Lonchura striata: one gene and its partner. The protein of the gene in region 2 purifies or fractionates together with the protein of the main gene of each other region. This does not show direct contact. Links are inferred from orthologs where the notes say so. Each region holds a gene or a part of one and is shown on either strand. Other genes may lie near its edges.

What was found. Proteins that work in one complex are often made in the same cells at the same time.
Region 1: the proteins of DHX15 (region 2) and TFIP11 purify together in Homo sapiens (co-immunoprecipitation; 4 studies listed by BioGRID and IntAct, with this or other methods). This does not show direct contact. The link is inferred for Lonchura striata from reciprocal best matches to the Homo sapiens genes DHX15 and TFIP11.

What each region holds. Positions count from the first base shown.
Region 1 is NC_134620.1:10,625,712-10,630,454, reverse strand, and holds the start of TFIP11 (tuftelin-interacting protein 11), read right to left. Parts: upstream 3,209-4,743; 5' UTR 3,084-3,208; coding exon 2,887-3,083; intron 2,392-2,886; coding exon 2,238-2,391; intron 1,587-2,237; coding exon 1,430-1,586; intron 935-1,429; coding exon 807-934; intron 381-806; coding exon 228-380; intron 1-227. UniProt on the Homo sapiens protein: Involved in pre-mRNA splicing, specifically in spliceosome disassembly during late-stage splicing events. Intron turnover seems to proceed through reactions in two lariat-intron associated complexes termed Intron Large (IL) and Intron Small (IS).
Region 2 is NC_134606.1:18,206,448-18,211,190, forward strand, and holds the start of DHX15 (ATP-dependent RNA helicase DHX15), read right to left. Parts: upstream 3,508-4,743; 5' UTR 3,343-3,507; coding exon 3,275-3,342; intron 1-3,274.

The sequences.
Region 1 (4,743 bases), on a different chromosome or scaffold from region 2:
ATAATTAAACTTATTGCAATTAACCCCCTACACACACATTTAATTAAACTTGTCACCACGTCCAGATGACACAGAGCTATTACATGGCTCAGGGATGAGCTCCATGAGGCTGCACAGGAATTCCTAGGACTGGCTTTACTGAGCTTACTGGTGCCTAAAATGTGCTGGTGACACCAAAGAGCCCAAACTGTTCCTCCACGGGTCACCTCTTGGCTTATCAACCTCACCTTGACCTGGGACAGCTCCTTCTGAGGGGCTGCAAGCTGCTTGCTGATCCTGCCCTTGGCTTTCAGCTCTTCCACTGTCTTGTAGCTGTACTTGGGCTTTTTCTTGCCTCCATTTGGGTCCTTCCGCCACTGGCTGAGCTCCTTCTGAAATTCCTGGACAAAAACAACAGAGTTGTGGTAGCTGCTCTTTGTCACACCCCAATTCTGCCTCTTTTCACAGGAAAATAACCATCAGATCCATGAGGAATATGTATAGGAAATAACTGGGAAGTGGAGAAGCTCATGTAAAACCAGCTTGGATGCTGTGGGCCAGTCACCCACCATGTGGATTAAATGAAGACAAAGCCTATTTATGTAGGGGACTCTTCAAAGGAGGGATTCTAGCAAAACTAAAGAAATAGAGTGAGACAGAAACAACAAAGAACATTACAGCAACAAGGAAGATCAGCCTGAACAAAATCGACATGCTGTGTTTGGCTTGTCTAAAATGAGCCCAGTTTTCTCTGACACACAGAAATCAAGAAAACTGAATTCTGTACATACAGCATAGCAGGGAAACAGCAAGAGCCCCAGGAATACCTCCTCAGTTTCCTCTTCTGAGTCCACCACAGGGAAGTCCTGCAAGGACTGTGGGGTCCTCTCGGAGCCGTAAGCACCCACAGCACCTTTGCCTTTCCTCTGCTTGGCCTCGATGGGATTGATGATTCCTGGCAGGATGGGAATGGGGTCAGCAGGAGCAGTTTGTGTGCTGGGAGAACAGCCAGGCTTTCCCTATGAGTTACCAGATCAGCACCAACACCCTCCCTGGCACTGCCTCCAGCACCGTGGTACTTCCAACATCACCAATTCCCTATAAAATCACTTCATCCCAGCACACACCAAACTGCCAAAGCACAGCCTTACTCCCAACCACATTTCACTGCCTTTTTATTCTGCCACATTAAAACAGCATCTCCTTCCCTGTGGGATGACCACCTTTGGAATTTACTGCCTTTTTTCTTGCTCCTTTTCTCTTGTACAATACCCAGAGGAGCAAACGAGCACAGGTTAGTTTGAACACCCCTGAATCTCACCACAAGGCCCAGATCACTGGCAGGAAAACAAGAAGGAAGTTTAAGCCAGATGGCAGCTCTTTAAGGAATCCAACCTCTCCCCAGAACCCCCAGTTAATAATAATAAACCACCAAACACATTGACAATACCTTGAGCATTCTTCCCCAGACCCCTGCCAGGGACATATCCCATCTTCTGGAGGAGCTTCTGCCCAATTCCTTTAGTGTGTCTCTCCCAGCTGCCAAAATCCACGAAGGACTTGGAGCCCCCTACGAAGCCTTTCTGGCTGGGCTTGAAATTTCCACCCTGTCAAAAACAAACACGTAAAAACCTGCAGCCCTGGGGCTTCAAATAACCAAAATGTGCAAAACTCCCCTCAGAAGGTTCTTCCTCCCCATGCTGGAACCATGCTTGTGCATCCGTGAAGCACCACTGGAGATTCCTGAAATTCCTCAGATGGGAAAGGAAAACCCTGAAAAAACTCTGGCTGACAACCTGACAGTTCTCAGGTTCCACCACCAGATTTAGCTGAAGCTGATTCCTGATTCTTTCTGGTTTTAACTGAAGAGTTTGAGTTTTACTCTATAACATGCCTGGATTTGTTAATTCTGTGAAAGTAGAAAAATAAAGTGTCTGAAAGACAGGAAATCACAGGAATTCTCTTCTTTAAACCTCCATGGACCAAAACGAATATTGAAAAAAATGAGAGGACTGATCCCCAAGGACACACAGTTATACCAATGTACAGTTGTACCAATGATTTATTATCCTGATTTTTATCAATGTATTTGTATCAATGATACAAAATCCCAAGCAAACACTTCCCTGACACATTTGGGTCTCTGGCTTAATTATTCCTCCCTTTTTTTAGTGCTCTATTACATCTCGCTGCCCTCGACCACAGCCTGAGTTTCACAAACCTAAAACAGAGAACAGCAAATTTCCTGGAGAACTCACTGTTTTCAACTTCTTGGGCACAAACTCCTTGGGAATCTCCTCCTGCTTCACAGGTTTCTCATCCTCATCCGAGTCCTCATCCGAGAGCTCCTCGGCCGCCCCCTTCCTCAGCCCAGCGCTCACAAAGCTCACGGGGGCTGAGTAATCCCTGGAGCTGCCAAACAAGAGGGAATTCTGCTCATTCCTGCAGGAGGCTGGGAGCTGCTGTGCCTCACACCTCCCAAAAATGGGATATTAAAGGCTGCCGAGCTGCTTAACCCTGCTTTGCCAGGCAATCCCCATCCTCCTCTGCGTGCTGCAGGGAGAGCACAGGGAAAATCCCTACAGGTGAGAGGGGCAGCCCAGCCGGCGATGTCCACAGCTGGGAAAGACGCAGGGAATGGGGGGAAAAGCTCCAGGGAACGGGCGGGGGGAAGCTCCAGGGAATGGGGGGGGAGCTCCAGGGAATGGGGGGGAAGCTCCAGGGAACGGGGAGGGAGTTCCAGGGAACAGGGAGGGAGCTCCAGGGAATGGGGGGGGGAGCTCCAGGGAACGGGGAGGGAGTTCCAGGGAATGCGGGAGAAGCTCCAGGGAATGGGGGAGGAAGCTCCAGGGAACGGGGCAGCTCCTGGGGTCCCTGAGCGGCCCGGGGGTCGCAGCCCGGCCGCACCGCTTCCCGCCGAAGCTGGGCCGCTCCTCGTCCGAGTCTCGCTCGGCCCACACGCCGTAGGTCGCCTCCTCCTTGGTCTGGCGGTGTCGCTGCCGGTGCGGGTTGAATTCGTTCTGCAGGTCCCAGTCCGACACCTCGAAGCTCTCCATCTCCACGCCATCGTCTCCGTCCGTGCCGTACAGGTGCGACATCGACATCGCGGCACCGCCGGGATGTCCCCGGCCCGCTCAGGGATCCCCGGCCCCTCAGGAACTCCTGACCCGGGACCCCGGCCCCCTCATGGAGCCCGGCCCCGGCCGCGCCGCCACACCGGATGCGCCGCCTTCACTTCCGGTCGCCGGCACGCGCGCGAGCCCCGCCCCCAAACCATCGAGTCGGCGCGGCCGCGCAGGTGGCACCGCCTTGTGGGGAGTAGAGGGGGAGGAGCCCGCGCGATTAATAATTAAAATATTAAATATCAAATCAACGCTTTAATGGTGTTCGACACCAGGGGTGGGGTGGGGGGCATATATTAACTCTGCAATAGCCTCTGCAGGGTCAGGGAGGCGGTGGGGGGGGAGGGCACACGCACCACAAAGGCTCTGCAGGGCCAGGGGGGCTGTTCCTGACCCTGGGAATTGGAAACAGTAGGACCAGGGTGGCTCTTCCCGATCCCAGGAATACGGAACAGCAGGGATGGGAGGGCTGTTCCTCCCACACCGGGAACAGGATCACGAGACACACACACACGCCATGTACAGAATCCTCCAGGCACGGCACGGGAATCTCCTCCCGTCCCCCCGGCTTTCCACAGCTGCATTCCCCACGGAGCGCTGCGACCGGCCGGGGACGTTCCCGCCGTGGAGCACGTTTGGCCTTTGCAAATAAATGCAAATACATTCCTGGAGCGCAGTCATTTGGCAACAGTAGGAGCAAGCAATATGCTTGGAGAACAGATTTCCACGGGCCCACTGCACGCTCTTCCTTCTCGGGCAACAACAGGCTGTTGGCAGCGTTCTGGAAGAGACAAAACACAGAACCTCAGGAGCAGGACTTCTTCAGGAGCAGGATCCCCTCAGAGCCAGGATCCCCTCAGGAGGAGGATCCCCTCAGGAGCAGGATCCTGTGAGGGCCAGGATTCCCGCAGGAGCAGGATCCTGTGAGGGCCAGGATTCCCTCAGGAGCAGGATTCCCTCAGGAGCAGGATCCTGTGAGGGCCAGGATTCCCTCAGGGCCAGGATCCCCTTGGGAGAAGGATTCTCTCAGGAGCAGGATTCCCTCAGGGCCAGGATCCCCTAAGGAACAGGATCCCTTCAGAAGCAGGATCTTCTCAGGGACAGGATTCCCTAAGGAGCCCCTAAGTAGCAAAATCTCCTCATGGGCAGGATTCCCTCAGGGTCAGGATCCCCTCAGGAGCAGGATTCCCTCAGACTAGCACAGCAACGCCTGACTGAGGGTTTAAAGATGACACAAAAAATGGCCAGAAAGGAACCAATTCTCAGCTCAGTACAAGGGGGATACACAATTCCTGATCTTCCCTCAGTGCTTCTGATCTTTTTCTAGCCCATATGCTTGTAGACAGAAACTTGCTCTTAAAGGATTAGTTTTAGTACCAAGAATGGTATTTTATGCTTTAGCATGGAGGAAGAACATCCAACACATCAACAGTTGTCTCTGGAACAGCAGCCCAAGGCAGCAGCTTTGTTTTCCATCATGTTTCCCTTTGTTTTCTATCCCCTTCCTCAGGTCCATGGCACGTCTTTGGAGGCAGCTGGGGAGCAGCCCAGCTCATCCACGCATTCCATGTGTCCCTGCTACCCGCAGGGATGGGCTGCAATAACCCTCCCAGGCAGCTGAGTTTCATTTTGCAGCTTTAAT
Region 2 (4,743 bases):
CTCATGAACAAAAAGTTAATTAAATGGACTACAAATACAATCCATCATGGAAAGTGCCATTAATCCCCCATTTCTCAGTTTCTTCACTGAACTTTTACAGCTTTTATATTGTACAAACAGAAAAGAAACCTATCAAGCTCTATGTACGTTTCAGAAATAAAACCTATTTATGTGTTAATGAAAGTCGAGTATTTCTTTTTTCAAAAAGCAGAAGAGAACCAGGGCAACCAGATTCTACCACAGAAACAGCACAACACACAACATGCATACAAACTTACTCTCTAACACTTATAAATTATACAGCAGCACTTACTGTGCCTGAAACTATTTACCAGTTTCCCATTATTACTGAAGCTTAGCAGACACAGCAGACACACACTCCCTTGGTCAACAAGGAAAAGGAGGAATGACAGTTATGCCGCCATATTAATTTCCTTAACTTTCTAACAATATGGCTTGACAGTTCTTTACTTATAAACTATTACATTTTAGCTGCTTTTTCATTATTGCTCAGAGAAAACAGAACTCAAACACAAAAAATTACACTAAAGTAATGATTTAATCACATTTGTCTTGCACCTGAAACGCGTAACAGCCTTCATGATCAGAAGGGGGCTGGGATTTTTTGCTCTGCTTTTAAGTGAAAAAGTCTGGTCTGCTATTTGCTTTCACTTCCTTACATTCACACACATATAACATATATGAACACAAAATAAGCACTATAGCAACCACTAAATAAGCATGCTTTTTTTGATTAGAAATCATATAAAAATAAAAAGGGAAACAAAGGACTCAAGGTAAACCACTGATCATCACAGTGAAGGCTTAAACCAGTCTAAGAAATCATAATTCCTCCCCATTATTAAACAGCAATATTTGATGCAAAAAAGGCAATAAGCTAAAGGAATTTCTGTTCTATACAGAAATCAACCAAATACAATTAGTCTGAATGATACATCCCATTAGATCACTCTGATGTTACACAACTCAAATATATTTAAAAATAAATTAGCATATTTTAAAATAGTATGTATGTAATTCACAGAAATGCTGTAACCAAGTCTTCCATACAACTTTTATTTTTCAAAATGTTTTTTACTTCACAGACAATACTTCAATTCTGGAAGAAAACAGATGTCATGCAGATGTTTAAGGTTGCACCAGTTACAAACATGTCGGCCAAGCAGAGCCCATGTGGCACTGCTGCCAATGTGCAGCAACCCATACTAACATAGGCCTCCATTAAAGAGGAACTAAAAAATACAGGTTCACTTGAAGTAACTTTCATATTTGTCAGGTAGTCCAGTTAGGATGCAAGACACTATTGTTCTGAATGCGAAGTGGTAATCACGCAAGGAGCTCATCCAGCTTAATCCAGCTCCAGAACCACCTACACTGCGGAAAGGCAACCTCGGCACAGAGGAAGACAGGTACACACAGGCTTTTAACAAGGCTCCACACATCCTCCTTACGGCCTTGCATAAGCTGCAAAACCGAACTACTCTAAAATAAACCAGCCATGTAACATTAGTATGACTCATCCTACGTGAATTAAGATTGCAAGTCATCTAAGAAATAATCATGGCATGTTCAGTAATTATGCTTATAGTGAGTTTTTCTCAGTCCTATACCATTTCATGCTTTTACCTGCAGAGGGCAGGACAAAGAAGGGGCACAAGACCAACATTTCTACAGTTTTTAGGTGCCATAAAGGTCAATGTCTTCTAGTTTAACACTGGTGGGAACTCACTGCAGTACATACAAAATGGTAGCACCAAGAGCACAGAATAGCATTCATGATAAGTAAAAACAATGACAAACAAGGCCACACCAAAACTACAAAATCCACCAACATACAAACAAGGAAATATTGACCCATGATTATCGCTACAGCCAGCTGTAACAGTTGTACCACAGAAAAACTGTACATGTACATTTCTGTACACTCAGAGGAACTATTTCAAACTCTGGGAAATCCTACAAAAATGCATTAACTAACACAAATAGCTCAATATATTTTATAAAACGTGATTATGATGATCCTACAGACAGAAAGTAAAAGTAGAATAACAAAGACTTATTTTGTTTAGCTGAGAAAAATGAATCAAACTCTAGGGGCTAAAAACTGAAGCTGTACAAGCTTACCTTAAAAAAGGCAAGTTTTGCAAAGACTGTTTGTCAGTGACTATTAACTGCTACATTCGACTTATTTAACCTGTGAAAACTGAAATTTTTTTTTCTTACATAACTAGTCCAAAACAACGCTGATGGACTTAAACAAGTGTTTAATTCACGGAAGCTTGCTGTGCTCCATAAAGAAGGCCAGACTAGATAAACACTGCATTTTTTTGTACTCCTTAAAACTTCAGAAATTTACTTTCAAGAGCTGACTGCCCTTCCTCCCCCTCCTGCCCAACTAGAGAGGAAAAGATAATGTGTAAAGAAAGCTCTAAATCAACGCTGAATTTAAGAACAGCACCAGTGCATTGTCTGTGTTCCTGCAATTACATTAACCTCAACAAAAATATGCTCGAGTACAGCCCTAAAACTTCAACCCCGCAAAACTAAGAGAAAAATAAACAATTCCTTGCCCCCTAACTCAAAACCCACCTCACCATCGATTCTTACTTCAGGGCAAGCACATCACCGAGGGTGACTGGGTGAAAAGACGTTAACAAAGGAACAAGGCTCCCACCAGAGTAGGCACTAATAACACGGGCTGCACAACCCTCGTGCTCACCTCTAGGCCCACGCTCGCCAGACCTTTCAAGCCAGAGAATAAGTAAACAAACACAAAGGAAGGAGGACAAGGAGTGGAAAAGGCGAATATAAGTACGAAGGCGAAGAGCTGCAAACAAAGCGTGCGCGGGGGCGCGGGCCCCGCAGCGGGCGCCCAGCCCAGCCCCCTGCCCCGGCGGCCGGGCCGGCGCCTCCCTCCCCTCCCTCCCCTCCCCCTGCCGGCGCCGCCGCGCGAGGCCCCGCCGCCGCTGTCGCCGCCGCCGCCGCCATCCGCCCCCCGAAGGGCCCGCCCGGCGGGGCGGCCGTTCCGAGCCAGGCCCCGCGCTCGGGGAGCCGCCAGACTTCGGGGCCTGCTCGGCCGAGGCGCCGTCGCTGCGGCCTCTCCCTGCCTCGCAAGGCGGCCGCCCCGCGTCCCGGGGAGCTGCAGCCCCGGAGGGGCGGCCGGAGCCGGGGATGGGGCGCGGATGGCGCGGGAGCCGCCGCGATCCCCCCCACCCGCCCCGCCGCAGGCCGCGCCGCCCGCGCCACCCCTCACCCGTCGGTGGTGCGTTTCTTGCTGGAGCTGTAATCGTCGCCCAGATCGAGGCGGTGGCGCTTGGACATGGCGATGGCGGTCGGTGTGGCTGGCGGGCGGTCGGTCCGGGTGCGGCGGGCGGGTGCTCTGCGCTCCCTCCCCGAGCGGCGGCACGGCGAGGCACGGCCGACAAAATGGCGGCCGGAAGGAAGCGCCGGGACCGCGCGAGGCGCTGGCGCGCGGGCCCGTTGGCCAAAGCCTCTCCTGGGCGCGAGCCCGACGGCCCCGCCCCGCGGCTGAGGGCGGGCCGGGACAGCGCCCGTCAGGGGATCCCTGAGCCACAGCGGCACCCGGGCTGGAAATGGCCCTTCAGATCCTCCAGCGCAGCCGCCCAACCCAGCACTGCCACTGTAACCACTGTGTCACATCGCTCAGCGCCAGAGCCGAGCACCTCTTGAACACCTCTGGGGATGGTAGTTCCACCACCCTCCTGGGCAGCTTATTCCAGTTCCTGAGCACACTAACACGGAAAGATTTTTTTAAACATCTAATTCGAATCTTCCTTGTCTCAGCTTCAGTCGATTTCCTTTGGCCGTCTCGCTGCAGGCATAGCAGAAGAGACAGATCCCACCTGGCTCCTGTAGGGAGCCATGAGGTTCCCGCTGAGCCGCCTCCAGGCAGAACAGCCCCAGCTCCCTGAGCCCATCCTCATCAGACATGGTTTCTAGACCTTTCACAAGCTTTCTGCCCTTCTCTGATCATACTCCAGCACCTCACACAGTACTTGAGGTGCAGCCTCACCAGTGCTTGCTCCCTGTCCCTCTTCACAGCCCTGCTCGAGGTTACAACCTCTGCTGAGCCCCTTGAATGAGCACTCGCTCCTGCTGCCCGACTGTTGGAGCCAGGGTGCGTTCACATACGCAGCTAACAAACATGAACGTAGTCAGGAAACATCACCTAGCAGCAGTGACCTGTTCCACAAGTGCAGACAGCTCGCCGAGTGGGGTTTCGTCCAGAGATTCCAGTTACAAAGATTTGTTGCAATTACTTTAATATATTTATTAGAGCATTTAATGTAGACAAATCCATAGGTTATTTTCTTTGATAGAAGATCATTTCTCTCCCTAGTTTTAGATAACAGAACAAAATGGCCTACACAGCTCTACTGGAGCTCTAGATGTTAGTGTAATAAAAATAAGATTTTTCTGCTTAGAGTTATAAACCAAAATAAATATTCCTGGAAACTGGAGTTTGAACTTTTCCTGTGAAGCTGGGAGTAATTTTTTAAAGTTATACAACAAAAAATACTATAATATCCATGTCAGTGGTTTCTAGAGGATAAACACTACAGGGTAATTCTCTCTATCCCAAATATCAAGCTTACTCGTTATGCTATGGTATTCTATACAGAGCTGCATTGGCTGAATGCAGCTAAGGGAAGACTTCCCACACATCTTTCCAAGTGAGTTTTAAATTATATCTATCTTAAA